Linked DNA regions of Pelodiscus sinensis. The protein of the gene in region 4 binds, or shares a complex with, the protein of the main gene of each other region. Links are inferred from orthologs where the notes say so. Each region holds a gene or a part of one and is shown on either strand. Other genes may lie near its edges. The genes, in order: PBRM1, SMARCC2, ACTL6B and SMARCD2.

What was found.
Region 1: SMARCD2 (region 4) and PBRM1 share a complex: the UniProt entries of both Homo sapiens proteins name them as parts of the SWI/SNF-B (PBAF) chromatin remodeling complex. The link is inferred for Pelodiscus sinensis from reciprocal best matches to the Homo sapiens genes SMARCD2 and PBRM1.
Region 2: SMARCD2 (region 4) and SMARCC2 share a complex: the UniProt entries of both Homo sapiens proteins name them as parts of the BAF complex. The link is inferred for Pelodiscus sinensis from reciprocal best matches to the Homo sapiens genes SMARCD2 and SMARCC2.
Region 3: SMARCD2 (region 4) and ACTL6B share a complex: the UniProt entries of both Homo sapiens proteins name them as parts of the BAF complex. The link is inferred for Pelodiscus sinensis from reciprocal best matches to the Homo sapiens genes SMARCD2 and ACTL6B.

The regions. Positions count from the first base shown.
Region 1 is NC_134721.1:41,054,298-41,062,182, forward strand, and holds the start of PBRM1 (protein polybromo-1), read left to right. Parts: upstream 1-4,881; 5' UTR 4,882-5,019; intron 5,020-5,292; coding exon of another isoform or gene 5,293-5,302; exon of another isoform or gene 5,303-5,317; intron 5,318-7,335; exon of another isoform or gene 7,336-7,885. Other genes in the region: GNL3 (guanine nucleotide-binding protein-like 3), read right to left, coding at 50-185, 965-1,048, 1,545-1,658, 2,614-2,751, 3,694-3,752, 4,221-4,266. UniProt on the Homo sapiens protein: Involved in transcriptional activation and repression of select genes by chromatin remodeling (alteration of DNA-nucleosome topology). Required for the stability of the SWI/SNF chromatin remodeling complex SWI/SNF-B (PBAF).
Region 2 is NC_134729.1:4,054,283-4,061,873, forward strand, and holds the start of SMARCC2 (SWI/SNF complex subunit SMARCC2), read left to right. Parts: upstream 1-4,589; 5' UTR 4,590-4,653; coding exon 4,654-4,764; intron 4,765-7,591. UniProt on the Homo sapiens protein: Involved in transcriptional activation and repression of select genes by chromatin remodeling (alteration of DNA-nucleosome topology).
Region 3 is NC_134734.1:9,006,992-9,014,167, reverse strand, and holds the start of ACTL6B (actin-like protein 6B), read right to left. Parts: upstream 3,016-7,176; 5' UTR 2,886-3,015; intron 2,853-2,885; exon of another isoform or gene 2,233-2,852; coding exon of another isoform or gene 2,217-2,232; intron 2,211-2,216; exon of another isoform or gene 1,885-2,210; intron 1,527-1,884; exon of another isoform or gene 1,453-1,526; 5' UTR 1,327-1,452; coding exon 1,302-1,326; intron 837-1,301; coding exon 760-836; intron 380-759; coding exon 214-379; intron 1-213. Other genes in the region: GNB2 (guanine nucleotide-binding protein G(I)/G(S)/G(T) subunit beta-2), read left to right, coding at 5,049-5,105, 5,353-5,391, 5,502-5,608, 5,975-6,038, 6,391-6,553, 6,710-6,776, 7,123-7,176. UniProt on the Homo sapiens protein: Involved in transcriptional activation and repression of select genes by chromatin remodeling (alteration of DNA-nucleosome topology).
Region 4 is NW_027466048.1:882,038-889,365, forward strand, and holds the start of SMARCD2 (SWI/SNF-related matrix-associated actin-dependent regulator of chromatin subfamily D member 2), read left to right. Parts: upstream 1-4,321; 5' UTR 4,322-4,398; coding exon 4,399-4,551; intron 4,552-7,328. UniProt on the Homo sapiens protein: Involved in transcriptional activation and repression of select genes by chromatin remodeling (alteration of DNA-nucleosome topology).

The DNA.
Region 1 (7,885 bases), on a different chromosome or scaffold from region 4:
GACCAGATGAGTGACTAAATGTCTGTACAGAACAAACTGCTTCACTTACCAATTTTGTTTAACACCAATAGTAGCTTTTTGTTTCCTCCAGACTGAGTAATGATTTGTTCTACCTGGGAGCACCGAGAGCCCAAGGGATCTCTGGCATCTAAAACCTGCAGGACTATATCTGAAACCTCCATCACCTGAAGTGGAAACAGGATTAGAAACAGCATTATAGAGAATATCTTTGAAATCATCAATACTATCCTCTCATTACAATGAGCCTCAGGGGCCGCAACAGGCCCCCGGGCCTGAGGCTCCCCACCACTGCTCTACAGTAGCAGAGATAAATGGGGTCAATCAAGAACAGATCAATGTTGCGCACTGATCGACTTGCTTCATTCAATTTTTAATAGGGCAATCTTTGTGTGTGTGTAAATCTTTGTCACTGTTATCTGAAATGATAAAAGGTTTTAAGGAAAACTAGAATACCACAGAATTTAATTTTTCCCACCATCCTACTGGCTACAGCTCAATGGATTTCTCAGTTAGTTCTCTCTAACACAGGTCAGTATTACTCTGCTATTGCTAAAACAACATAGTAATACAAGGGTACTGTAGGGCTCTGTCTTGCAGGACAGAAAAGTAAAGCCCCTTTATCTTTTTCTTTAAGCAGGCAGATATTAGTTAATTGAGAATTAAGAGTCTAATAATTAATAACCTGATCCTGAAGCACTTTGGTAAAATGCTCATTGAGTCCAAAAGTCATGTTGCTGAAAAGTGCCGACTACCCTCAATGAGAGGTGAGAATTCTCAGCACCTTTACAAGACTGGGACCCTGAAAGTGCATTGTTCTCAAACTTTAAACTCCATACGATGTCCACCTCTGAATAGAAACAAAATACCTGAAAAGGAAAGTATCAATTTCACGGGTGTTTGGATGCTGATCAAAATATAGAAAGTGGTCATTAAAAGTTCCTACCTTTTTAAGTTCTCTGCAAAATGATTTATTTGAATTTTTATCCAGCAGTCTGTTCGATTGTGCTTTTAGTTTCATGGTTGATTGCTGAATAAAAAGAGGGTGGGAGCAGATAAGAGAATTTGAATTAAAATATTGTCTTTACACAACAGAAGGTAATAACAGTTAGAACTACAATATTTCCAACAACATGAAAAAGCAACAAATCCGGGAATACATGTCTTAAGAAAAAAGATACTTCGAGGATTACATTTATCACACGTATACATCTTAATGGACTCAGACCTAGCCAGGCTGTGATATTTGCAATATTGTTCTTGAACACTGCATGAAAATGGATGTTAGCACTAAAACAGACACCCTATATTTACTTTGATTAAAACGGATGCATTATAATTGCCATATCCTCACTAAATATATCAACAAGTCTTTTCTGTTGCTCCAACATGAAAACAATGGGAATTTTGCCATAGACTTCAAAGGGTGCTGGATTAGGCTTTATGAGAGGATAGAAACTTTTCTATTGTGCTGCAAGTGAACTAGCTTCTTTGAAAAAAAGGAAAATTATACTACAAACACATACCTTTTCTTCTGGATGTTTCTTCGTTTCGGTAGCATCCTTTTTAGCTTGTAGCTTTCTTTTCTTTTCAAGGTTCTTCTGCCTAGCAAGTTTCTGCTTCTGTTTTAGTTCTTCAAGCTAATTGCAACACAAGATGGACAACATTTCATAAGCTAAAGAGTATATTTCCTTCCCACTTATGATCAGGATTGTTTATGACGTGCTTCAGAAATAAAGAGCAGCACTATAAAAGTGCAACACATTACCACCTAGAATTATTCTTTGAATATTTTGCAGTTTTTAGTGCTAATGAATTGTGCCAGGTTAAGCGCCCTAGAAAGCTAAGTTCTCTATCCACATAAGGAGTGAAATTCTGGTTGCAATGACTTAATGGCAAAACATCAATGGGACCAAGATTTCACTCTTGAGTATGGTTTTTGTTTTAATCTTGACCTAGTGTGGTCACACTGAAGGAAAGGGGATATTCAGTCTCCGTTATCCTTTCAATCTTGGTATGGAAATATTAAGAAATCATGGCTGGGAGCTTAAGGAACTGGTTGGCTGATGCAAGCTTATTTCTACTCCTTCTCTTACTTGATGAAAAGTTGATACATTCACTGCCAATTAAACGTTTTGAGGCACTCAGTTAACTCTGGTGCCAAGACAGACAGAAATACTATAGTGACAGACACCTTCTAAATGATGGTAGATGTGGTCCCTCTGTGTAGTAACATGAGCAGACAGTGAATGCTATCCACAAATATCTATGTACAGCAGTCTTCAGCAATTTTTTTCCTTTTTAAAGACAGCTGTGTAGGTTATGTAGAAATCTTATTCTTTGTAGGAAACTAATTATGCTAAAAATTCCACACATTTGTATTTTACTTCTATACAGTTACAGTACAAAATACTAAAAAATTCCACACGATTTAGTATAGCTAGTTGTTATCTAATATATTAAATTGGAAAAGTATCTGTAGTATTTTAGAGTGAAGAGCTATTAAGACTATTTATAGTGCATGATACATACCAAGCTTCCCTGGAATGGGAATATGCACAAAACCCCTTCATTCTATTCTAACCTGTAATTTACCCTTTGTTTCCTTTGCTCAGCTTCACGAAGAACTTGTTCCTTAAATGGTGCAGCGTTGGGAATTCCTGGATCTTTCTTGGGCTTTTTGTGTCCACGTTTCTTGGCTTCTTTCCTGAGTTTTCTGTTGTGCTCCCGAACCTATAGGCAAGAAAAAATAAAATCCAGTATGGGAGTCACAAACCCAGTTTGATACAGAGACCCTCACCATTCTCTCTCTTTCATAGTCACGTATATACGATTTTTCTGTGTTTGCAGTGAAGGGCTTTCAATTACAGACTGAATCAGCATGTAGCTGTACTTAAATAAACAGATCCCCGACTACTGCAGAAATTAAAGATCCCAAGACTCAAGTTATGTCCATCTCTCTGCCACTGTGGATTTGTTCCCTAAATTTAAAAGTAACTTCCCATTGTAGTTGAACCATATGTCCACTCACAAAAGTTCTGTATTACATAATTTTTGTATTATTTGTCAAGGTATTTGGCATTAGAAAAGAAAATGATTTGTACATGCGTGAATTCTTGGCACTGGGATATTAATATCTAGCACTTAAACTATCTTGTTAGTCTTTACTTAGGTGATGAGCTTTTGTGGGGCAGACCCACTTCTTCAGATCGTATCATACCTTATTAGTCTTTAAAGTACTACATGACTGCTTTTTTTGTTTTAGCAAGATCAGACTAACATGGCTACCTCTCTGTAACTAGTATCTAGCATTCACATTATAATACAAATTGCACTCAGGCCATAATCAATTTATGAATGTTTATTCAAACAAGAAACACCAACAGCTTTGAAATTATTCGGCTAGTTACTAGTACTACTGTGATATAAGAAGTTAAATAAAAATAACACCACACTCCAAAAGCATTTTGGTCATTCAAGCACCTTCATTTAGTTATGCTTTAAACAGAAATGGGTTCTATTCAAAACTTTACATTCAATCCCCCACCCAAATTTGAATGCAGAGCTGAAATTTACAGTTTCTAAACACCACAAAAATATGTCTTTATATATTCTATGATGAGGGCTGAAATATAGCCAAGCATGCTTAATACCAAATTTGGCACTGGGACCTACCTTTTTCTGAATTTTATATCGTTTGTGGCAGGTCATGCGCTTACTAGCCTTCTTCAACTCTGAAAACATAAGAACAGGTTGCAATTAAGTAGATCTTCCAAATGAAAATCTTATGAGCAACACTAATGTGGAAGCCAAAAACATGTAGCCAAAGAAGCTTAACAAACAACAGATTTTTGGTTCAGATGGGAAAAAAAACCAAAATTTTATTTAATCCAAATGATTCCCCACCTCAAAATATTTTGCTGAACTGAAAACTAAAAAGGGACTTTTAAAATCGATCAAAATATTTCATTTGATCAAAACAATTTTTGTCCTGATTTTTTTGTTTCAATTTAGTCACTTTTGGGTGTTTTTTCACTTTGGGTATGTCTACAGTAGAGGAAGATGGAAGCTGTCGCTCTTCCAGGGTTCGAATTAACTGTCTAGTTAAGACAGCTAATTGGAAGTGAGAGGGGCACTCTGGCTGATGCAGTGACCATGCTTTCACCAGGAGGGAGGGAAGTCGATGGAAGAGTGGCTCTTACTTTGACTTCCTGCAGCGTAGCCAAAAGCTGAATTAAGCAACTTCATCTACACAATTCATGTAGCTGAAGCTGCAGGTCTTAATTCGACTTGGCCCCGTACTGCAGACATACCCGTTATGTTTTATCTTTTTAAAGGGTCAGATTTGAATGTAAGACAACATCTTAGGTTTAAATCAATCGACGTTCACTTTTCAAAATTAACCGCTATTTCCGTTGTTCCTGGGCTGAACCGACTCGCTGGGCCGGGCCCGAAGCGGCACCTTTCGGGCCGCCCCCCAAACCCCGGGTTGGAAAAAATCGAGCTCAGCTCCACACGCGGGCCCCGATCCCGCAGGCAACTGCGAGCACGTGGGGCGAGCCGCGCTGTGGCCTGGCCCTGCCGCCGCAGGCTCGTAGGAGCCGGGGGGGGGGGGGGGGGGCCGACGGGCCCCGGGGTCCCAGCCGCAGCCGCCGTCACCCCCTCCCCTCAGCAGCCCGGAAGAACTCGCGGGGGGGGGGGGGCTCTGCCAGCCCCTCGCACGCGCGCACTCACTGGGCCGCTTCATGGCGCGGCGGCGGCGGGCTCCGCTCTCGGCACGTGGAGGCCGCCGACTGGCGAGGGGCAGGCGGGTCCCGCGACGCTGCCGTAAAGCAGGCGGGTGCCGCTGCGCGCGCTGTCGCGCGGCGGGCTCGCTTGGCGGCCGGGCGGGCTTTGCGGCAGCGGCGGGCCCGGCAGTGGGCAGGAGCGGCCGGAACAGCAGCAGCGGTGGCGGGGGGCGAGCGCGGCCGCGGCTGTCGGAGGCGGAGCGAGGCCGGCTGGGTAAGCGCGGGCCGGGCTGCGGGAGGCCGCCGCTTCCCTTTGTGTGGCCGCCGCGCTGCCCGGGGGGGCCCAGCCCCTGTTCGCACCGCTGCGCCCCCCCCGGAGCTCTCCCGCCGCGGGGGAAACTGAGGCACGGAGCGGGCAGTCCGCTCGCCGTACGGACCCGGGAGCCCTGGCCCAGCGCTGACCCCGGGGGGCACGGCCTGGGGCACGGCAAAGCCCCCTCGACGTGTAGGGGGAGGCCCCGCCCATGCCGAGCCAGGACCGACTAACCCTGCATCATCCCTTGTGTCCAGCCGAGGGAGGTAACAGCGGAGCCGATTAGCTGATCAGCAAAGCGACCAGTCCGTGCTAGAGATACACCACTCTCCTCCCCCAGTACATCTTGTAGCAGCCGGGTTCAGTCCTGGCTTGCGCGGGGTCTGGGACCGACCCCCTGCTGCGGCTCTGCATTTAAACCGTATGAGGAGCCAGGCGGGCAGGCAGCCCGGCTCAGTTCCAGCTTGCGCCAGGTCTGGGAGCTCCCCCCTCTCCCCACGGACAGGGGCTGCTGCAGCACGGAGTGGCAGGGGGCTCCTCGGGAGTGGGGCCAGAGCATACTGCCTGCCAGCCCCTCACCGGGGACTATAGAATAGCTGAGTAACCAATTAACCAATATTTAACACCCCTAGTCCAATCTGTTCTTAAAAACTTCCAGGGATGGGGATTCCACAGTCTTCATTGCCACAGCACAAGGGGCTTTGGCTGGGGCAGCTTCCCCTTCAACTCCTCCTCATGTGTGGTTAACTGATCAAATACTTTAACTGGTTAACCACTTAACTGGAATTTTATATCCCTAAAGGGAACATATTATCATTTTATATGATTACTGATAAATCCTGAAACACGTTTGACCATATGAGGAAAAGTCAGTGGAGGGAATGATGTACTGTAAAAGGATAAAGTTAGCAACATTAAATGCACATATTTATTTCTTTATTAATTTTTGAAGGGGTAATGGACAAGGGACAGAATGTGACCACTTATTTGATCAACTACTGGGTAAAATACAGGTCTGCTAATATTCAAATATTACTAAATGGTACTTTAAAGGAATACATGTTCTAGGAAAGTTTGTGAGGCCTTTTCGGTAAAAGGTTTTTGGGAGGATTGGGTCTATATATGGCCCTATAAATATTAATAAAATATTTTTGTATAGCTACATACGCATCTTCAAGTATTCTACAGTTGTTAACTATGCACCCAGTACTTTACAGGTGAAAAAATTGAGGCCGAGACCATCTATTACATCATCCTGTTTCTGTATTTTGATTTGTAAGACTGTCATTCACGTGAATTTGTCTATCATTTCTACCTGCCCTGACATGTTCTCTGGGACAGAAGCGGTATTTTGTCCCTTTCTGAGAAAAGGCTGAAAGAATTAGGCATGCAGTAAAACTCTGATGGTCCGGCATCTGATGGTCCGGCACCATCAGGAACCCGGAAGTGCTCCGGGCAGCCGGACCATTGGAGCTGCTCTGCCCCCTGCTTCCCCATTCAGCCGCTGCTAAAACTGACCAGCGGCTGAATCGGGGATGCCGGGGGCAGAGCACCTGGGGCTCTGCCAGGTTGGTCCCCTAGCTCTGCCCCTCGGGGCTGCTGGACCAACTGGGCAGCATCCCAGGTGTCCCTGATTCAGCCGCTGCTGAAACTGACCAGCGGCTGACTCCAGGAAGCCTGAGGCAGAGCTGCTCTGCCCCGGGCTTCCTGGAATCAGCCGCTGATCAGTTTCAGCAGCAGCTGACTTGGGGACACCTGGGGTAGAGCAGCTGGGGTGCTGCCAGGTTGGTTCCCGCAGAGCCGAGGTGTGGCGCTGCGGGGACCAACCCGGCAGCGCTCCAGCTGCTCTGTCTCAGGCGTCCAGATTCAGCCGCTGTTGAAACTGACCAGCGGCTGACTCCAGGAAGCCTGGGGCAGAGCAGCTCTGCCTCGGGCTTCCTGGAGTCAGCCGCTGGTCAGTTTCAGCAGCTGACTTGGGGACACCTGGGGCAGAGCAGCTGGGGTGCTGCCGGGTTGGTCCAGTAGCTCCATGGAGCGGCGCTGTGGGACCAACCCAGCAGCACCCCAGCTGCTCTTGGGGACGCCTGGGTTGGCACTACCGGACCAACCCAGCAGCACTCCAGCTGCTCTGCCCCAGGCGTCTCTGATTCAGCCGCTGCTGGTCAGTTTCAGCAGCGGCTGAATCAGGGATTCCTGGGGCAGAGCCGGACTATCGGAAGGGGGGGCTATGAGGGGGTCTGGGGTGTCATTCCCCCCCCCCTCATAGCCCCTCCTTCTGATAGTCCGGCATATCTGATAATGTGGGTCCCAAAGGTTCCGGATTATCGGAAGTTTACTGTATTTAGTCCAGAGCAGAGGTTTTCAAACTGTGTGTCAGGACCCCAAATTGGAATGCAGCCCCATTTTAATGTATTGCCAAGATTGGTGCTAGACTTACAGGGACCTATGGTCAGAGCCAGACCCCTGTCATCAAGAGCTTTGCCGTTCCTCCCCCAGTCAGTGCTGAAGAACTTGGACTTTGGCTTCTGCCCTGCACCCTGGGGTGGTGAGGCTTGGGCTTCAGTTTTGGCCCTCCTGTCCAAGGTGGCGGCACCTGGGGGAGATCCTGTACTAATTTTTGTTGTCAGAAAGGGCCAGGGTTACCCAGGTAAGCCAGTAAGGGCATGCTTATCTCTTAAGTATTAACCCTTTGTATCCCTAGTTTCCTCTGTCATTTTGTGACATTTACCAATGATCTGAAAACGGTTTCTGCAGTAATGCGAAGGATGCCCACATAGCAAAAAATAGTTTTCTTGACATCTGTGTGTCTGCCTTATTGGTTGTTTTT
Region 2 (7,591 bases), on a different chromosome or scaffold from region 4:
CAAATCCCCCCTCACTCTTCTCACTCTTCTCTTCTGCAGACTAAACAAACCCAAATCCCTCAGCCTCTCCTCATAGGTCATGCGCTCCAGCCCCCTAATTATTTTGGTCGCCCTCCGCTGGACCCTCTCCAATGCGTCCACATCCTTTCTATAGTGGGGGGCCCAGAACTGGACACAATACTCCAGATGTGGCCTCGCCAGAGCTGAATAAAGGGGAATAGTCACTTCTCTAGATCTGCTGGCAATGCTCATCTAATGCACCTAATATGCCATTCGCCTTCTTGGCACAAGGGCACACTGCTGACTCATCTCCAGCTTCTCATCCACTGTAATCTCCAGGCCCTTTTCTGCAGAACTGCTACTTAGCAATTCGGTTCCCAGCCTGTAACAATGCTTGGGATTCTTCTGTCCCAAGTGCAGGACTCTGCACTTGTCCTTGTTGAACCTCATCAGATTTCTTTTGGCCCAATCCTCTAATCTGTCCAGGTCACTCTGGACCCTCTCCCTGCCCTCCAGCGTATTTATCTATCTCCCTCGCTTAGTGTCATCTGCGAACTTGCTGAGGGTGCCATCCATCCCCTCCTCCAGGTCATTAATGAAGATGTTGAACAAAACTGGTCCAAGAACAGATCCTTGGGGTACTTTGCTAGCAACCGACCGCCAACCTAACCCCGAGTCGTTTATCACCACCCATTGGGCCAGACAGTCTAGCCAGCTTTCTATCCATCTTACAGTCCTTTTATTCAATCCATTCTCCCTTAATTTGCTGGCAAGAATATTGTGGGAGACTATATCAGGAGCTTTGCTAAAGTCAAGATATATCACATCCACTGACTTTACCATGTCCACAGAGCCAGTTACCTCATCATAGAGGCTAATCAGATTGGTCAGATACGACTTGCCCTTCGTGAATCCATGCTGACTATTCCTGATCACTTTCCCCTCTTCCAAGTGCTTCAAAATGGATTCCTTGAGGATCCCCTCCATAATTTTTCCGGGGACCAAGGTGAGGCTGACTGGTCTGTAGTTCCCTGGATTGTCCTTCCCTTTTTTAAAGATGGGCACTACATTTGCCTTTTTCCAGTCATCCGGGATCTCTCCCGATCTCCACGAGTTTTCAAAGCTAATGGCCAAAGGCTCTGCAATTACATTTGCCAACTCCCTCAGTACCCTCGGGTGCATTAAATCCGGGCCCATGGATGTGTGCACGTTTAGCTTTTCTAAATCGTTCCTAACTTGTTCCTTCCCCACCAAGGGCTGCCCACCTCCTTTCCATACTGCGTTGCCTAGTGCATTTGTCTGGGAGCTGACCTTGGGTCCCTGGGCACCTGTGAATGACACGGCACCACTTGCCCTGCCCCACGCCAGGCCCGAGAACTCAGCTGGCTCCCAATCAGCAATTCCATCTCCGCAGCCCGGGATGGGGTTTAAACACCCCGCAGCTGCCCAGGCTAGGCCTCCGGGGCTTCTTGTCCTGCAGAAAGCAGCTGGGAAAAGCTCCCCCTTCTATTTCGGCCTTTCTCAGAGGGCTTGGGATCTCACCCGCACTCAGCGCCCATTGTGCCAGGCGCCCTGCATGTGCTACTGGGCCTGATAAGCTCACCCTGCCGCTGGCAGGACATTACCGACGGGTAAGCGGATTCATGGAGCTGTGAAGGGCCAGACTGTCCCGTGAGCCCAGGTCCTGGGGGCCAGGCTGAAAAGCTGCCCCCAGCTACAGGCCCGAGAATGTGGGAAACTGGCTATAAAGCAGCCAGCTGCTGAGAGTCTTTGGCCAAGCTTGGACAAGGGAGCTCCTGCGACAAAAGAGCCCCCCTGCTCCTGGGGCAGGCACAATATCTGGCCTGTAGACAAAAGGCCCGTGGCACGCAGGGTCTCCTGGGGCGGGGGAGCTTTGCCTATGCCATGCTGCAGGATTTCAGGCAAGCTGAGTTAGGGGTTCAGCGGAGACAAGCGTTACCCCCCCCCATCTGCCCCAGGGGGATTTTTGGCACCTTCCTCTGGAAGTGAAACGTGATCCTGGTCGTGGGGGGCTGTGGGGAATGGAACTACACCTGGGTTTAAAACGAAGCTTGGATTTGAGGGCTACGTCGGCCACTGTGACAGGAAGGCTAAACCTGTGCCAGGCATTACTGCTGCACCGATAGGTCCAGTCATGGGCCTGGACCCTACAGTGCTAGGTACTGTACAAACAAAGGGGAACGATCTAAGCCTAAGACATGAGCCCTTAGCTGGACACAGGCAGCCTATCGGGGCAGCAGGAGAACCCTTGGGCCCACAGTGCTCAGCAAAGACCCGGCCCAGCAGGTTTCCTAGCACAGGTGGGTTTTAAAGTGGGACTAGAAGGTGGCAGCTTTGCAGGTATTCGGGGAGCTCCCCCCTGCCCGGCCAGTTCAGGCCCCACACCCGCTCCCCCAAGCTCTCAGAGGCTGGCCGGGCGTCTGAGCTAGACGCCAGGGCAAGGCCACGGGAGATCGGGGTTCACATTCCTGACCCTGCTGCAGGGTGGCTGCATGCTCTGCTCTCTGCCTGGGAGGCCAGAATGGGGCTTGCCCGAAGCAATGGGAACAAAGGGCCAACCCTTGATCCTGTTGCAAGAGGGGTGGGGGTCTTGCTAGGACCTGGCCTCTATGCTCTGCCTCATCCCAAAGCGCCCTGGGGTGGTCCCCGGCAAAGAGGGGCTTGCTTCCCTGGAGAGCCCCATACTCTGCCAGTCTCCCCTGCCCCCTGCTGCTTTTCTACCCACTGACCTGCAAAGCAAATCCACCTTTCTAGCCAACTCCCTGGCAAGTCAGGTATCCCCCAGCTGCTACACCCAGAGCAAATCAAGTTGTGCTAGCAAGTTCTGCTAACGCCCCTCCCCCATTCCTCCAGCCAGCTGTGTCCCCTGCCCCACAGATAGTACTGCTGTGCCCCCCACGAGTTTTGCAATAGCAGATCACATACCCCACACACACATACAGATGAATCCCTGCCCTCCTCTGGCATCCCCCCATCCAGCTGTGTCCTTCCTACCAGCTCTGCAGCCCCCCCTCCCACAACCCACATGTGCCCCCTACTAGCTCTGCATCCCATACCCAGCCCAGATGTACCCCAAATGCCTTTGCACCCCCCCACGCAGCCTAAATACACCCCAGCTAGCTCTGCACCCTTCACCCAGCTTAGATGCACCCCAGGCAGCTCTGCACCCCCCAGCCAGCTCTGCACCCCCTAAGCAGCCTAGGTGCACCCCAAGCAGCTCTGCATGCCCCCAGCATAGCCCTCTGTAGCAGAGGGCCACCAGCTCTGGAATCCCCCAGTTCAGGGATTGCCACCTGTATTCTACACCCCCCAGGTCAGATGTGCGCCCCCCTCCCCGCAGCACTGCCCCCTCCTGTCTGCCGGCAAATGCAAACACAACATACTCACCCCCACAGCCCTGCCTGTGCCTAAAGCGCCCGCCCTCTCCCCAAGTGTTTTTTTAAAAGGTGGGTTTAACGCCTGGGCCTTCCCCACAAAAACGAGTCGCCGTCACGAACAGGATTCGAACCTGTGCGGGGAAACCCCATTGGATTTCGAGTCCAACGCCTTAACCACTCGGCCACCGTGACACCCGGCCAGGGCTTCGCCGAGCTCCGGCTAGAAGATCCACATAGGAGAGGGGCGGGGGGGGGAGCAACAGAATCTTCCTCCCCCCACGCGTGCTGCAGACCCCCGAGTGCCCCCCAACCCCATCGTGACCCCCTGCTCCCCTCCACCACAGGGCCGGGCCCGCCCCTCCTGGCCACGGCTTTCCCAGTGCGCCCCACGGCCTCTCCCCGCCTATCCCCAGAGCTCCCCGCTGCTCCCATCCTGAGACCCCCCCATCTCCCTATGCCCCACAGCCCCCACCCCACAGCCCCCTCCCCGAACCTCTATAGCCTCCTCTGTCCCCCCATTCTGCCATCCCCATAGCCCCCTGTGCCCCACAGCCCCCTCCCCCCCGGCATCCCCACAGCTTCCTCTGCCCCCTCCCCACGGGACCCCCCAGTCCCAGCGATACCCATATAGCCCCACAGCCGCCCCCTCCGCCATGGCACCCCAGCCCCTCCCCACGGGACCCCCAGCCCCCTCTTCTCCCCTCGAAACCTCCAGCCCCCGCCCCACGGAACCCCCCCCCCCAACCCCAGCGATCCCCACAGCCCCTCCCCCCCCGGACTTCCTCTCAGCCCGGGAGCAATTTTCATAGCCCCCCCCACCGCCTCCCCCCATGCACCCCCCCACCCCAGAGATCCCCCCCATAGCCCCACAACCCGCCCCCCCCATCGCCCCGGCGCTGCGCGACGGGAAGATGGCGGCGGCTGGCCGGCAGGGGGCGCCGCGCGGCGGGAAGATGGCGGCGGGCGGCCGGCAGGGGGCGCCGCGCGGCGGGAAGATGGCGGCGCGGGGCGGCCGGCGGCCGGCAGGGGGCGCCGCGCGGCGGGAAGATGGCGGCGCGGGGCGGCGGGCGGCCGGCAGGGGGCGCTGCGCGGCGGGAAGATGGCGGCGCGGGGCGGCCGGCGGCCGGCAGGGGGCGCTGCGCGGCGGGAAGATGGCGGCGCGGGGCGGCGGGCGGCCGGCAGGGGGCGCTGCGCGGCGGGAAGATGGCGGCGCGGGGCGGCGGGCGGCCGGCAGGGGGCGCTGCGCGGCGGGAAGATGGCGGTGCGGAAGAAGGACGGCGGCCCCAACGTCAAGTACTACGAGGCCGCGGACACGGTGGGGCAGTTCGACAGCGCGCGGCTCTGGCTGGGCAAGAACTACAAGAAGGTACCGGCCCGGCCGGCCCCCCCGCCCTGCGCCTCGCCCCCCACGGGCCCCCGCTCCTCGGGCCCCTCCCCCCGCCCCTTCTGCCCCCCCAATCGCCGCACCCCACTGACAGGCGTCAGCCCGCCTCGAGCCCCCTGGGTCACCCACATCTCACCCGCCCCCGTGCCCCCCCGTGCCCCTCCGTGCGCCTGTCCTCCCCACCGACCCCCGTTTCCCCCAGTGTCTGCCCCCCCCAGTGTCTGTCCCCCCCCCCGTGCCTGTCCTCCCCACCGACCCCCTCCCCCGTGCCCCACCAGTGTCTGTCCTCCCCCCTGACCCCCTCCCCCGTGCCCCACCAGTGTCTGTCCTCCCCCCTGACCCCCTCCCCCGTGCCCCACCAGTGTCTGTCCTCCCCCCTGACCCCCTCCCCCGTGCCCCACCAGTGTCTGTCCTCCCCCCTGACCCCCTCCCCCGTGCCCCACCAGTGTCTGTCCTCCCCACTGACCCCCTCCCCCGTGCCCCACCAGTGTCTGTCCTCCCCCCTGACCCCCTCCCCCGTGCCCCACCAGTGTCTGTCCTCCCCCCTGACCCCCTCCCCCGTGCCCCACCAGTGTCTGTCCTCCCCCCTGACCCCCTCCCCCGTGCCCCACCAGTGTCTGTCCTCCCCACTGACACTCCCCCCTCATGTTCCACTGGTGCCTGTCCTAACCACTGACTTCAGTTCTCTATGCCCCACTGGTGCCTGCCCTCTCCATTGACCCCCATCCTCTGTGCCCCACTGGCACCTGTGCTCCATACTGACCCACATCCCCCGTGCCCCATCCTCCCTGCTGATCCCCAGCCTCACTGGCAGCTCACAACCCCCGCCTCCACTGAATTCCCTCAGCCCCTTCCCATCTCCTCAGGGCCCCCGTTCCCCTATGCAGTCCCTTCCCTGCTCCTCCATTACAGCCTCTTTCCCCTCCTTGCCTGAACCCCTCGTTCACCCCCAGCGACCCTCCTGTTCCGCCTTCCAGCGCCTTAATTCCCTTCCAATCACCTACCCCTGTCTCAGCACCTCATTGAATTCCCCCTCTACTCCCCCCAGCTCCGCAGAGGCCTTACAGTGCATGGGGCTGATCTGATTTGTACAGGAAGGGGGAGGGGGGTTGTTCCCCACCTAACCACATCTGTCCTGGGGAAGGTGCCCCCTTAACACTCTCTTGGGTCCCCCATCTCACCCACCGTGGCTGGGAGCCGTGTCCCTTCCTGGTGTGCGGAGATGCGAGCCAGGCTCCCACTAGGAACTGCTCCATTTCCTATCCCCTCTCGGGGGGGCCCAGCCCCGCAGCTGATAACGTCGGTCTCCCCTCGGATCCTTGTCCATCTTTCACCCAAGTCCTTTTGCCTGCCTGTGCCGAGACAAAGGCCAGCCTGTGTGCGGGGAAAAGTGACCGAGCCAAGCCCCTATACTAGGGCTTGGGATCCCTCACTCCCGTGAAACCGTCACCAGATCTGGGCTGCGAGGAGTCTTTTCTTTGCAAGGGTAGCTTTAGGGTTACGATCATCCAGCCACCTGCTGCGCTGTCTCAGCATAGGGCGTGTGGGCGGGGTCCTGCGGGCCCCACCTGGCTCTTCCAACCCCCTCGCCTCCCCCTTGTGCTGTCATGCAAGCAGCATGGGTCTGTGGTTCCCAGGCTGTTGCCTTTGACCTTCCACAGGCAGCGAGAAGCTGAGTCACCAGACAGCTCCTGGCTCTGGAGTGACAGGCTGACCTGGCCATCCCTGCTCACTGGGAATTGGCCTTTTCACACCCTCGCAGGGTTGAACCACTGCCGGAAGCTGGGACTGGCGGACAGGGGATGGCTCGCTAGCTAATTGCCCTCTTCTGTTCATTCCCTCTGAAGCCCTGGCGACCGCCACTGTGAAAGACAGGCGGCTGGGCTGGAGAGGCCATTGGTCTGCCCCAGTGCGGCCGTTCCTACGTCCTTCACTCCCCTCCCCCTAACTATCTTCAGCTAAAGGCTCTGCCCCCATGTGCCAGGCTGCCTGCTGACTATCATCTCTGTGCCCACACCCATACCAATTGGGTGAAATACGCGTCACCTCCAGCAGAATCCTAGAGTTGGATGAGACCTCAGGCAGTCGTCCTCAAAGCAGGACCAACCGCAACTACATTGCCCTAGCCAGGGCTTTTGGCAAGCCGGGGCTTAAAACTTCTAAGGATAGAGATGCCGTCACCTCCCTAGGCAACCCATCCCAGCGCTTCCCACCCTACTAGGGAATTAGCTTTTCCTAATAACCAACCTCTACCTCCCCCACGGCAACCTGAGACCATTGCCCCTTGTTCTGTCATCTACAGATAGCTACATGGGGCATTTGCTTTGGGTTGCCTCAGAGTTTGAAACAAGCGCAGTTTATTGCTCTGGATTATTCCAGTGATGCTGGAGGGGGGGAACCAAACGCCATCAGGGCACCCTTGGGCTGGGTGCTGGACAGACACATGGCGAGAGACCGTCCTTCTCTCAGTCATCACAGGCAAGACAAAGTGTGGAAGGAGAAAGCGGCCCAGGGAAAGATGAAGAAGCCATTCCTTGGGGCAGAGGCGGGACCGTGGTCAGCCAAATTCCTGCCCCTTGCAATTCATGGTCCTCAGGGAAAGGCCTTTGTATGGAATGGCCGATATGATCTGCTTGTTTATTTCCTGGGAGTCTTGGTTCCCAGACAGACCCCAGGGCCAGGCCCCCAATGCTGCCTCTGTTTAAAAAGAGCTGCACTCAGTCTGACAAAAGGCACCCTTGGGGACAGAACATCCCAGCCAGCGATCCCCTCAGCCTCTCCCCACCTGCTGGGCCATCTAGCTTCAGCT
Region 3 (7,176 bases), on a different chromosome or scaffold from region 4:
GTGGCAAGGTGGGGTATGATGGGTCTGCAGCATGGGCATAGCAGTGGGTCAGATGGAGGGACCATGGCAGTGCATAGCAGGGGGTGTGGGGAAAATGCCATGGGAATCTGGTGGGGACACTGGTTGAGGGGCCATGGCTGGGGGGCCCTGTGGCTGGGGCAAAGCAGGTTGTCCCATGTAGGAGGGGAGGAGTCCCGGGAGCCCAAGCCTCACTCATGCCATTCTTGAGGGGCGACAGGACTTCTGTGTTCTCCCGCGGGACATGCAGCGAGTTGGTATCGATGTAATAAACCTTCCCTGGCTTCTTCTCCTTCTCCCCATCCAGCTCCAGCGCCGCCTCTTCCGGGGCCAAAAGTCCCACTGTGGTGGGGAAATCTGCCTGCAATGGGGCAAGAGGGTGACATGCAGGGCTTGTCTCTACGGGCACCGGCTCCCACCCGGCTCCAGGGCAAGGGACTGGCTGGCTCAAGGGGGCAGGGAATGGAGTATGGGGCTTGTCTCCTCTAGGGGGCGCTGGTTCCCATCCAACCCCAGAATAGGAGGGTTTCATAGGGCCGTGGTGTCCAACCAGTTCTGAAGCACTATACGGGCTACTGCTATAGACAACTAGCCACACTCAACCAGCCAAATAGTCACATTGCTCAAGCCACATACCACACTCAACCAGCCAAATTAGCCACATGTGGCTAGTGGCTAACATGTTGGACATCGCGGTCATAGGGGAAAGTTGAGGGGGGTTCCAGGAATGCCTGGATGTACCTTTGGGCAGTCTTCTCCAGCATAACCAGCTCGCACTGAAAATGAGCCGATGTCAAAAACAAGAGCTCCAACCTCATCTGGGAGAGAGATAGAAACAGTCACTACCAATCACCTATGCAGCCACCTCTGGGACAAGGACCCCTCGCCCAGCACTGAGATGTGGCCACCTCTGGGACAGTGTATCTGGTTATCCAGGGACCCTTCACTCAGAGCTGAGATGCAGCTACCTCTGGAGCGGGGTGGCTGGTTACACAGGGACCCCTTGCTTGGCACTGAGATGTGCCAACTGCCGGGGTGGTGCACTGACCACTCTGCAATGCTGCACAGAGGCACAGACAATCCCCGCTCCAACAGACAATGTCTGGATCTGGAATTTGCTCAGATGCTAATGTTCATGCGCCAAGAAAAGGGGCCAGCCCTGATTCCAAGGGGAGAGTACCCCCTGCTGACTCTAGCCCCTCCCTGCAGCAGAGCACCCCCTGTGGGTCACGTGCCAATGCTGTGAAGAAAAAAGGGGGGCAGCCTTAAAGAGGATCCCTTACCTCCTCCATAGACACCCCCACTCATCCTGGCTCTGCTACGCCCCCTGCCCCGTACAGATCCTTGAGGGAGGTCCGGGATGTAGGGGAGGCTGGGTGCAGGGGGCTATTCAGCACCCAGGCGACTGGACAGCGACCGTGGAGGGGAGGGGGGCTATAGAGAGAGACGTAGAGGGGAGCTTCCACCTCAGCCAATCACAGGCTGCACCCCCCCAACCGAGGCAGCTCCTGATTGGTTAACAAAATAGACAATAAGTGATAATCTGGGGTTTTCTTAAAGAGGCAGGTAGGTGATTAGTGTCTGGGGAGGGGGTTAGTTCTCAAGTAGCAAGCATTATTCCCCTCCCAGAGTCAGGGAGAGAACCCAGGAGTCCTGGCTCCCAGCCCTCCACCCCACTCTAACCCACCAGATCCCACATTCTATTTAATTACTCCAGGTACCTCTCCAAAAATTATTATCCAAACATCCATCCCTGCCCCTCTTCATCCAACCATACATGCTCCCACCTCCTCTAGCCAGCCCCTTTCAACCTCCCCCCACTCTGCAATTCCATGCCCTGGGTTGTTCCAAAACAGCAAAATTCACCTAGAGGAGGGGACAGATCCTGAACTAGGATGTACAGGAATTCAGGAGGGGTTCAGAGTCAGGACTCCTGGGTTCGCTCCTGGTTCTAGGAGGGGAGTGGGGGCTGGTGGATCAGAGGGGAGGGGAGGGCTGAGAGTCAGGACTCCTGGGTTAGTGGTTAGAGCAAGGGAGGCTGGCAGCCCGGACGCCTGGGTTTGCTGGGAGGAGAGTGGGGGCTGATGGGTCAGGGCAGGGGCGGGGGCTGGGAGTCAGGACTCCTGGGTTCTCTGGGAGGCAGGTGGGTTAGAGCAGGGGGGACTGCGAGTTGATTCCCCCTTCCTAGTTTGACTGACCCATTGCAGAGAACATCAGGGTTGGTACAACTCATCTCTCCCCTCTGCTTTCATTAGTTGGTCTCGCCCTGTCCTGGTATCTCCCATCTTTATTTCCTCTCTCCCTCCTCCCCCCCCCCCCAGAAGCTGAGTTGTCTCCCTCCCTCCTCCGCCCCCCAGGAAATGAGCAACCTCCCCTGCTTGTTCTCCACCCATCCAGGACTGAACCCTGCCTGCCCCTTCTCAGAGAGAGTTGGTATCTCCCGTTCCTACTTGGGGGGGGGGGTGCTCTGACGGGTCTCCCTAGAGAGTTGGTATGGGTCATTTTCTCCTTTTCCTCATTGGAGCATCGGTCTCACGTCACCCCGGAATCGATTTGGTGTATCCTATTGTTAGCCCCCTTCTAAATACAGTGGGTAGTCTCACCTCCCCCCTTGAAGTGCATTGGTTTCTTCCACCTCTGACCGCCCCCTCCCTATAGTAAATGGTCTCACACTCATAGAATGTAATCAGAGAACACTAGAACTGGAAAAGACCAGTTCCCTACCCTCGTGGCAGGACCCAGCACCATTCTAGACCGTCCCTGACAAGCGTCTGTCCAACCTGCTCTTAAATATCTCCAGATCCCACAACCTCCCTAGGCTGGGAAGTGAATTGGTTTAGCCCATTAAAGGATGAATTCACTCTCACCACAGAAACGAATCCATAGCACCCCTCATATGGAAGGTGGTCTCACCCGGTGGACCAGGAAGTGGGTTGGTATCTCCCATTCCATAGCACCCCTCTATATGGTAGATGGTTTCTCCCTCATTCCTCCCCCGCCCCTTTCATTTGGTGCGTCTCGGGCTCTGGGCGCGGCCGCCCGCAGCCGCATCACCGGGGCTAGCAGGCGGGGGGGGGCGGATCGCTCCGCCGCTGAGGGCCGAAGCGGAGCCCGATCCGGATCCTTCCGCCCAGGGGAGCGGCCGCGGAAAGGAGTCCCCGGCCCCCCAGAAGCAGGCTGCGCCAGGTAGGAGGGAGGAGAAGGGGGCCCCAGCTGTCAGATCGGCAGGGGCTGGGCGCAGTCACGAGCGGGCCCAGGCTCCCGTCCCAGCTGCGGCCCGGAGAGCTGCCCACGCTGCGCTTCCCCCCTCGCAGCCCCGCACCGGGAAAACAGCCCCCCTGCTGGGGAGAGAACCCAGGAGTCCGGGGCTGCCGGCCCTTCCCCCCCCTTCCGGGCCGGGGACCCAGGAGTCCGGGGCTCCCGGCCCTTCCCCCCCCCCCTTCCGGGCCGGGGACCCAGGAGTCCGGGGCTGCCGGCCCTTCCCCCCCCCCCTTCCGGGCCGGGGACCCAGGAGTCCGGGGCTGCCGGCCCTTCCCCCCCCCCCCCCTTCCGGGCCGGGGACCCAGGATTCCGGGGCTGCCGGCCCTTCCCCCCCCCCCCTTCCGGGCCGGGGACCCAGGAGTCCGGGGCTGCCGGCCCTTCCCCCCCCCCCTTCCGGGCCGGGGACCCAGGAGTCCGGGGCTGCCGGCCCTTCCCCCCCCCCCTTCCGGGCCGGGGACCCAGGAGTCCGGGGCTGCCGGCCCCTCCCCCCCCCCTTCCGGGCCGGGGACCCAGGAGTCCGGGGCTCCCGGCCCTTCCCCCCCCCCCTTCCGGGCCGGGGACCCAGGAGTCCGGGGCTGCCGGCCCTTCCCCCCCCCCCTTCCGGGCCGGGGACCCAGGAGTCCGGGGCTGCCGGCCCTTCCCCCCCCCCCTTCCGGGCCGGGGACCCAGGAGTCCGGGGCTGCCGGCCCTTCCCCCCCCCCCTTCCGGGCCGGGGACCCAGGAGTCCGGGGCTGCCGGCCCTTCCCCCCCCCCTTCCGGGCCGGGGACCCAGGAGTCCGGGGCTGCCGGCCCTTCCCCCCCCTTCCGGGCCGGGGACCCAGGAGTCCGGGGCTGCCGGCCCTCCCCCCCCCCCCCCCTTCCGGGCCGGGGACCCAGGAGTCCGGGGCTGCCGGCCCTCCCCCCCCCCCCCCCCTTCCGGGCCGGGGACCCAGGAGTCCGGGGCTGCCGGCCCTTCCCCCCCCCTTCCGGGCCGGGGACCCAGGAGTCCGGGGCTGCCGGCCCTTCCCCCCCCTTCCGGGCCGGGGACCCAGGAGTCCGGGGCTGCCGGCCCTTCCCCCCCCCTTCCGGGCCGGGGACCCAGGAGTCCGGGGCTCCCAGCCCTTCCCCCCCCTTCCGGGCCGGGGACCCAGGAGTCCAGGATAGTGCCATTGCCCTGGGGGGCATTTACTGGCTGTGGAATTTCTTACGGAAGCAAATGGGATCAGCAGTTATGCCCAGTTCGGACAATCTGCTATGCCCCGGGCCACACTCACCCACTGCCTGCCTCCCAGCCAGTCAGTGGCTGGTGGGAGCACCCTGCTATCCTGTTCCCTGCCCCCCATTTTTGCTCCATCCTAAATCTTGTCTGAGTCTCCTATCCTGTTGCCTTGGCAACCATCAGTTGAAGGGAGCTGGGGCTAAGCCTCTCCCATCACCACAGCAACTACTGATTGTCCTCAGCGCCCCCCCCCCCCGCCCCCCAGATGCTGTAACACACTGGAAGGAACACAGAGAATCCGCAGTGCCAGACACCTGCCCCCCCTCAGCCACTCTGGCCCCATGACTGGCCAAGAGAATGGGAAAAATAATGCTTGGGAGCCAGAGCTCCTGAGTTCTCTTCCCTGGCTCTGGGAGGGGAATGGGGACTGGGTTGGGCCTGGTAGGGCTGGGAGCCAGAACTCTCCACAGCAGGTCTAGGGGCCCCATATCCCACTAAGCATTCCTCCTCTGTGCAGGTTCCCGCCAGCTGAGCGGAGCCGTGGCGCCAGCGCTGCCCCCCCACCACAGCCATGAGTGAGCTGGAGCAGCTTCGGCAGGAGGCAGAGCAGCTGCGGAACCAGATCCGGGTGTGTGGAGCCCATGGGGGTTGGAGCCCCCAATGCTGAACCCAGGAGTCCTGGCTGCCAGACTTCTCCCCCATGGGGGTCTTTATGGCTACTGTTTTTTTGGGGGGGGGGTAGCGCTTCCTGCTGTCCACATGGGGGCACTAGGAGTCGACACCCGAGTTCTGTCCCTGGCTCTGGGAGTAGGGTTAAAGCAAGGGGGGTATTGGGCAGTTCAGATTTTAACCCAAGGTCTCCCTCCCCCCCCCAGGATGCGAGGAAGGCATGTGGTGACTCCACTCTGAGCCAGGTGAGCAGTGTTGGGCCTGTTACTGGCATCCCCATGCAGCCCCTTTCCCCTGCCTCCAGGTTCCCTGGCTGGGTGCGGGTCCATGCCTCACCTGTCCGCCCCTCCCCTAGATCACAGCCGGGATGGACCCTGTGGGACGTATCCAGATGCGGACACGACGCACCCTGCGAGGCCACCTGGCGAAAATCTATGCCATGCACTGGGGCACTGACTCCAGGTGAGAGCTGGGATGAGCGAGCTATATGGGCATCCTTCACCTAGCACTCTGATGTGGCCACCTCTAGGGCAGGGCATCTAGTTATACAGGGACCTCTCTCTCAGGCTGAGATGCAGCCACCTCTGGGGCAGAGCATCTGGTTAGAGAGGGAACCTGGCTCAGTGTTCGTGGCCAGGAGAGGAGGATCATTTTCTCCATTGGCCTGGGGGGGGGGGGGGGGGGTCGCTTTGGTTTTGATTGGCCTTGGCCTAGTTACTGGGAGGGGCAAGGCAGGGGAAGGGCTGATAGCAAATAATGGGAGTATTTTGAGCCACCACCCACAGCGCAGTGCCACTCTGGCTCATCAGAGGGCTCTCTGCCTCTTAGGCTGCTGGTCAGTGCATCGCAGGACGGGAAACTCATCATCTGGGACAGTTACACCACGAACAAGGTGAGGGAGTTGACTGGTGAGATACTGGGGTAAAGGGTCCCAGGAAGGGGGCAGCTGACAGGATACTGGAATAGATGGGCTGAATGGATTTGGCAGGGAGGATACCAGGGTAAAGGGCCTCTGGGTGGGGGAGGGGGGAGGAAGCAGGTGTAGATTTAGATGGGTCCCAGGGTAGAGGGGGGAGAGACAGCAGGTGGGATACTGAGGAAGAGAGGTTGGGGGGGTACCCCCAGGATAGCAGGGTAGATGAGCCTGGAAGTGGCAGCAGGCTGGATACTGGCTTAGATGGGCTAGGGAAGGGGACATTTGGCTTCATACCTGGGTAGGTAGAGTAATTTCTCCTTTTCCCCAGGTCCACGCCATCCCACTGCGTTCGTCCTGGGTCATGACTTGCGCTTATGCCCCATCAGGGAACTATGTGGCCTGCGGGGGCCTGGATAACATCTGTTCCATCTACAGCCTGAAAACCCGGGAGGGGAACGTCCGTGTCAGCCGAGAACTGCCAGGGCACACGGGTGAGCCCTCGACTGCTAGGATTTACTCCTCCCTCGGGGAGGGAACAGGGGTCTGGTGGTTACAGCGTGGGGGCTGGGAACCCAGATTCCTGGATATGCGCTCCTGCCAGTACCCCGGCTCCCAGCTAATCAGCATCTTGCTGTCCCCCCCGGAAGGTTACCTCTCCTGCTGCCGCTTCCTCGATGACAATCAAATCATCACCAGCTCCGGGGACACCACCTGGTGAGCCTCTTCCCCTTCTTCAGGCCCCTGTGCTTGGGGGGGTGTGTAGAGGAATCAGCTCCCCAGAACCACAGCTTGGGGGGAAAGGATAAGGGAAGGCTGGGTCTGTGGAGGTGCCCAAGGGAGAGGCTGGAGTAGGTGGGGCCAGTGGGTGGGCAAGAGGGTAGGGATGGATTGCAGCTGGCAGGCAGGATCAGTGGGACCGACCATGGAGTCAGCTGGTGGGAATGGGGGCAGAGCCTGTGTGAGGGGCAAAGTAGGTGGTGGGGATGGGGGTGGAACCAACAGAGGGGAAGAGCCAAGGTGGAGCCAGGAGAGGGCATTCCAGCCTGTCTCCCCTCTCCAGTGCACTGTGGGACATCGAGACGGGACAACAGACAACAACATTTGGGGGGCACAG
Region 4 (7,328 bases):
TCTGTTTAACTAACCTCATTTTTGTGTAATTCCTTTTTCTGAAATTAAATGCCACAGTATTTGGGCTGTTACGATGTTTTTCCTGACACAGGAAAGTTTTTTTTAATATATATATTCTAGTCGCTATTTCAAAGAAATCCAGCTATTTTCACCTCCTGGACCAGATCTTGTGCTCCACTTAGGACAAAATCAAGTATTGCTTCTCCTCTTGTAGGTTTCAAAACCAGCCGCTCCAAGTAGCAGTCATTTAAGTTGTCAAGAAACTTTATCCCTTTATTGCATCCTGAGGTGAGGTGTACCTAGTCAATATGGGGATAATTGAAATCCCTCATTATTATTGAGGTTTTTTATTTTTATAGCCTCTCAGATCTCCCTTAGCATTTCATAGTCAATACCACCATCCTGGTCAGGTGGCAAGGTAATATATCCCTACTGCTATGCTCACAGTATTAGAGTGTGGAATTACTTTCCATAGAAAATGAGTTTGGTTCATTTACGATTTTTACTTCATTTGATTCTATGCATTCTTTCACATACAGTGCCACTCCTCTACCAGCACAATCTGTTCTGTTGTTCTGATATATTTTGTTCCCTGGCAGTACTGTATCCCATTGATTATTCTCATTCCACAAGTTTCTGTGATGCCTAATATATCAATATCTTCCTTTAATGTGAGGGACTCCAGTTCACCCATCTTATTATTTAGACTTCCAGTGTTTGTACAGAAGCATTTTTAAAATGTCACTATGTAGCTGTCCACCATTACATGATGTAATTGAATGGGACTCTTTTCAGTTGACCGTTTCTAATCAGATCTTACCCATATTTTATCATCTTCCATCCTCTCCTCTTTCTTAGGACATAGAGAATCTCTATTAACAGACCTTCCCTTAAAGGGATGTCTCTGTCGGATCCATGTGATCCTATGCACCTGTAGGCTTTCCCCCAACCCTTCATGTCAAGAAGGAAGCAAACTATCAAACAAAAACACTGTGCAACCCCTCCTCTTACAAATTCCCACCCAGATTTCTCTGTTTTCTGTGCTATTTGCTGGCTCCTGAGCTGCTACTGCACCCAGGAAGCAGTGCACTTGGCAAAGGACTTCTGGTCAGCAGCAATTGCAAACACAGCGCACTCACTGGCTGTGTCTAGACTGGCAAGTTGTCTAGACTGGCCGCTTGATTTTGCGCAAAAGCACTGACGTTCTGCTGTCCGAAATCAGTGCTTCTTGCGCAAATGCTTTGATGTTCCCGTTCGGGCAAACGCCATTTTCCGGAAATGCTTTTGCACAAAACGGCCAGTGTAGACAGCTGAAAACTGTTTTGCGCAAAAAAGCCCCGATGGCGAAAATGGCGATTGGGGCTTTCTTGCGCAAAACCACGTCTAGATTGGCACGGACGCTTTTCCACAAAAAGTGCTTTTGCAGAAAAGCGTTCGTGCCATCTAGACTCTCTTTTCCGCAAATGCTTTTAACGGAAAAACTTTTCCGTTAAAAGCATTTGCGGAAAATCTTGCCAGTCTAGACGTAGCCGCTGTGTATGCAGCTCAGCACTCAGAATAAAAGCAAGGGTTCAGTGACAAGCCGCTGTACTTGAACAAGGTGAGTTGCTTCCATTTCTTGGGAGTTGATTGGCTACCTTTGGAGTGGAGAGGAACAGGACACTCTCTCATGGGATTGAGAGAAATCACTGAGGGTATGTCTACACTACCCCGCTAGTTCGAACTAGCGGGGTAATGTATGCATACCACACTTGCTAATGAAGCCCGGGATTTGAATTTCCCGGGCTTCATTAGCATAAGCGGGGAGCCGCCATTTTTAAATCCCCGCTGCTTCGAACCCCGTGTAGCGCGGCTACACGGGGCTCGAACTAGGTAGTTCGGACTAGGGTGCCTATTCCGAACTACCGGTACACCTCGTTTCACGAGGAGTAACGGTAGTTCGGAATAGGACCCTAGTCCGAACTACCTAGTTCGAGCCCCGTGTAGCCGCGCTACACGGGGTTCGAAGCAGCGGGGATTTAAAAATGGCGGCTCCCCGCTTATGCTAATGAAGCCCGGGAAATTCAAATCCCGGGCTTCATTAGCAAGTGCGGTATGCATACATTACCCCGCTAGTTCGAACTAGCGGGGTAGTGTAGACATACCCTGATGGACTCTCAGGGTATGTCTACACTACCCTGCTAGTTCGAACTAGCGGGGTAATGTATGCATACCGAACTTGCTAATGAAGCCCGGGATTTGAATTTCCCGGGCTTCATTAGCATAAAGCTGGCTCCGCCATTTTTAAAAGCCGGCTAGTGCAAACCCCGTGCCGCGCGGTGTACAGATAGTTCGGAATAACTACGTAGTTCGAACTATCTAGCCCGTGCCGCGTGTAGCCGTGCGGCACGGGGTTCGCACTAGCCGGCTTTTAAAAATGGCAGAGCCAGCTTTATGCTAATGAAGCCCGGGAAATTCAAATCCCGGGCTTCATTAGCAAGTTCGGTATGCATACATTACCCCGCTAGTTCGAACTAGCGGGGTAGTGTAGACATACCCCCTGGGAATCCAAGCTGTGTCTATGCTGCAAAATGATGACATTTGGGCCTGAATCCTAGTGGGACCTGGGCTTGAATGCTTCACCTCTGCAGAGTCTTAGGGTACAGCTACACTGCACAGATGATTGAAGCTGCTGTTGTTGATCTTCCAGAGCTAATTAAGACAGATAATTCAAACTGTGAGGGACGCTCCAATTGATACTGGTAATCCTGCTTTCAAGAGGAAAAGGGAAGTGGAAGGAATAGTGTTCTTCCTTTGACTGCCTGCAGCGTAGACAGCTCCAAAAGTTGAGTTAAGCTACTTGGACTTCAGCTATGCAATTAACATATCTGAAGTTGGGTATCTTACTTTGACTTTGTCCCGTAGTGTAGATGTACCCTTTGGGTCCAGGCTAAGTCTGACAGAATTGTGTGTAGACAGAAGGGAGGATGTTGGATTCAAGCCTGAGCTTCTACTGTAGTGTAAACATTTCCTAACTAGCGTAACTAGAGAAAAGTTAAGAATGCCCAAGAGCTGTTTGGGACACAGGAATGTGAATGTTGAACCACTTAACTGGTAAAGTGGGATGTAATAGTGTAGTCGATTAACCGCTATAGACTACACGCATTTCCTACCACTTGCCAGTACATTTTTTAGCAGGCTGGCCTGCAGCCCAGCTCATTCCTGGTTTATGCCGGATTAGGGACCCACCCCCACTGCGGCTCTGCTTTTCAAGTGTATTAGGAGCCAGGCCGCCCGGCTCAGTTCCAGGAGCTGAGCCCCCCCAGTCCCTCAGACAGCCGGTCCATGAGGGGAGCTGGTTCAGGACAGACCAGCTCCCGCCTGGCGCCTGCGAGCAGCGTCCCGTGACGGGGGTTCACCCCTGGCTCCGAGCAGGGGCGGGTTCGATCCAACATGCCAAGTCCTGCTCCCCTGGGGTGTCCGGCTCCCGGGATGCAGAAGCACGAGGAGCCCCAAACCCTCTGGGTGCCCGAGGGGGGCGGGGGAGGGGAGCGAGGTTAATGAATGAACGGGGGGGGGCAGCCCCCCCCATCACTCCCGCCTCCTCCCGCGCCCAGCAGGGAGCAGGAGAGTTAAAGCAGCCAGCTTCTCTGCGCGGGGAGGGGGGGGGGGCGCGACGCTCCCGTCGCTCTAATTCGCGGCACATCTGTCAATCTCCCCGCGAGCCCGCCCCCGGGTCCCGGCCTGAGCCCCCCTCAGGGGGCCACGTGGGGGCGGGTTTGAGGCGCAGAAGCGGGCAGGGCCAAGGGGGCGGGGCCCAGGAGGCGGGCTCGTGGGGGCGGAGTTCGGGCCGAAGCGGAAGGCTCAGGGGACGGGCCCCGTGAGGGGGCGGGGCCAAGGCCTTAGTGTGAGCGCGTGGGGTTCACGGGGCGGGGCCAGTGCCCAGAGGGCGGGGCTCGGCGAAGGGCGGGGCTGGGGCCTAGGCGCGCGGCTCAGGGAGCGGGGTCAGAGCTGGGGGCGGGGCTCCTTGAAGAGAGGAGGGGGCTCGGGCCGAGGCGCACGGCTCAGGGGGCGGGGCCGGAGCTGGGGGCGGGGCTCGTTGCGACGAGGCGCACGGCTCAGGGGGCGGGGCCGGAGCTGGGGGCGGGGCTCGTTGCGGAGAGGCGCGCGGCTCAGGGGGCGGGGCCAGTGCCCACAGGGCGGGGCTCGGTCAAGGGCGAGGCGCACGGCTCAGGGGGCGGGGCCGGGGCCGGGGCCGGGGCCGGAGCTGGGGGCGGGGCTCGTTGCGGAGAGGCGCGCGGCTCAGGGGGCGGGGCTCGTTGCGGAGGGGCGCGCGGCTCAGGGGGCGGGGCCGGCCGGGCCGCGCGGGACTCGCCCAGGGCGCCGCCGCGGGTTGCTGGTAAACAGGCGCGCGAGCCGATGTCCGGGCGCGGCGCGTTCCCGCTCAGCCCCCTGCCGCCCGCCGCCGCGCCCCCCCCCGCCGCGGGGCCCGGCCTCATGCGGGGCCCAGGCCCGGCCGCCGCGGGGCCCGCCGGATACCGGGCCATGGGGCCCGCCGCCGCGGCGTACCAGGTGCGGGCCGTGGGGGGGCTGAGGGAGGGGAGGGGAAGGAGGTTTCTGGGGGGGCTGAGGGCACTGGGGGGTGGGGGAGGGGAGGAGGATGCTGGGGGGCTGGGGGTGGGGGAGGGGAGGTTTCGGGGGGCTCAGGGCACTGGGGGGTGGGGGAGGGGAGGGGAAGGAGGTTTCTGGGGGGGCTGAGGGCACTGGGGGGAGGGGAGGGGAGGAGGATGCTGGGGGTGTGGGGGGGAGGTTTCGGGGGGCTCAGGGCACTGGGGGGTGGGGGAGGGGAGGAGGATATTTAGAGGGGCTGAGGTCATGGGGGTGGGGGGGAGGTTACTTAGGGTTGCCGGGGGCTCAGCACCGAGGGACCATTTGTGATGTGGGGAGGGTGGGGGGGGACCCAGGGAAAGTGTCCAGTGGTGTTGGATGAGGGAAGTGGGGGGACCTGCTGTGGGCAAGTCTCCCAGAACAGTCCCTGGCCAGATACCATCTCCCGGCCTGTCCAGTGTACACCGCAGCCCTCCCTTGGGGATTGAAGCCCCCCCAAGGGAGGAAATTATTGCCAGTCCCATGCCCTGGGGGAGGGGGCTCTCTAGCTGGAGTGCTGCTGCTGCTCCCGGATGGGGCAGTGTGTCCCAGCTCTGGGGCAGCCTCTCTGGTAACTAGGGATGTTAAAATACTGTATGTTTATTCTGGTAAATGTGTAATCACTGAATATTTCAGTAGTTACATGGAGTGCTGGCTCCCCTTGAACACCGGATCCCACCTCCCCCCACTTCTCCCCGCAGCAGCACAGACAGGGCAGGGCCTGTGTGTAACCATGCACATAAACCCATGAGCCCAGGCTCATCAGTTAGCCATGTACACACATGCTCATCCCTGCTGGTAACTAGGTCTCTCACTGTTAGAACCGCAGTCCTTAAACCACGGAGGCACCAGGTATTCAATCTGACACTCAGCTTCACAAAGTGGCCATCTGCCTCTGGTTCCAGGTGTGCTCACAATGTGTGGCCCTACCCAGAGCACTAAGTTACACGGGGTCATGGCAGCATAGTTTGCATTTAAAAACAAATGCCATGCTCCTCATGCCAGGCACAGATGGATAAACGGAGTCATGGACGCAGCATTTGGTTCTCACAGCTGCCAGGGTCTAGTTAAAATAATGTGCAGCAGTAACCTAGGCTCAAGTAGACAGTGGTTATGCTGTTCTGCTTCTCCATTCTAGCTCGTTCCCCATAATGCAATTTAGAAAAAGTAGGGAAAGAGGCCTAATATGTCAACTGAAGAAGAGTCTGGAAAATTGTTCCCTAAGATTTGCCAGTTAGGTGGATTTACCAGAGGGCTGGATGTTGTCATTCCATTTACTAGTTTAAAAAAATGGTAGTACCAGTACAGCTTGTGGCACCATATTCTCCGAAGCAGTAGGGAACTTAGGAGAGAGATGAGACAGGGACTCATGGGAACAAGCTCATGCTTAATTTCCTTTTTCTGAATTTGGCTGAGATCCTTTTCAGATTGCTCCTGGTAGGAGCTGTCACTGGGTAGGTGGAGGGGGTTGAGAGACTGTTTTGGAGAAGATGAAATGGAGATGGTGGATTCTACTTGAAAAGTGACTGGATTAGATTGACTAGAAGCTTGGTGGTTTTTATGGTGCCTAAAATAGCAGTGTGTGTGTTTGGGGGGAGGGTTTCCTGCAAGAGAGTCATTAGAAAACAACAGGACAAGAGACAGATTCCTAATCAATTCTTTTCTTTGCACTTTTGGGGCCCCAATTGGTTCCCTGTACAAGAGTCTGGTAACTTCTAGGTTCTGTCTGCATTGCAGCTGGGAGCATGCTTAAGCTAGTGTACAGAAACTAGCTGTGGCCTAGGTGGTGATACAGGCTAGCCACTCAGATACAGACCCAGGGAGCTGGCCAAGCTTTTGCTCAAGGGGCTAGCCTATGGTGTAGCGTCCACACAGGTACTTCTGGTGTGCGAAGCTAGCACATGTCTGTGTACCCAGGCTGGGAGGCACACTTCCAGCTGCAGTGCAGACGTGCTTGCAGGCTGTTCGGTGTCTGTTGGCAGAGGGGTGGGATGGAGAACTAGGGTTGCTTTTCCTGAGGCGGGTGGGTGGGTGGGGGTGTGTGAGAGAGAGAGATACTGTAGTATTAGCTGTAGTACTCAATAGGAATGCTCTTGAATCCAGCCAACACTTATTTTTGTTTCTCCTACAAACTAATTGCATCAAACAGCTGTCTGCTTTCCCAGGTTCTAAGAGGGGGAGACACTGCGGGCTTGATTTGGCTATTCAGCAGCCCATTGGTGCTTCCTCTTCTAAGGTGGTGAGTTATGGACACACAATAGGTCATCACATAGCCCCTCTGCACCCTGTGGTGGGTGTTACAATCTGCTTTAGAAAAGGCTGGCCTGAGTTGCTTGGCTAAGGTTGGATGGCAGGCTGTCCTTGCCCAGTTTCCAAAAAATGCTATGGAAACTAACACATAACACCCTTGGTTCCGGGATTAACATCTCCTGAAGATGGTAACTGTTTGCAGTGCAGGATGATATTACAGGCTCTGTATTGTTAACTGAGAAATGTATTCTGTTCAAATCTTGTAGCATGTGATCAGGATGTTAAAGAAACTTTGTCTAGCTGCTGTTGCAGGCTTATCCCCTATTCAGCCTCTGTTTACGCCTTCTTTTTCCTGGTTCTGCATGGCTTTTAGCCACTTAAAGTCCATTAAAACGTTAGCAGATGACGCTGACTCACTTGTGGAGTTACTGTGCAAACACTCTGTCAGCATA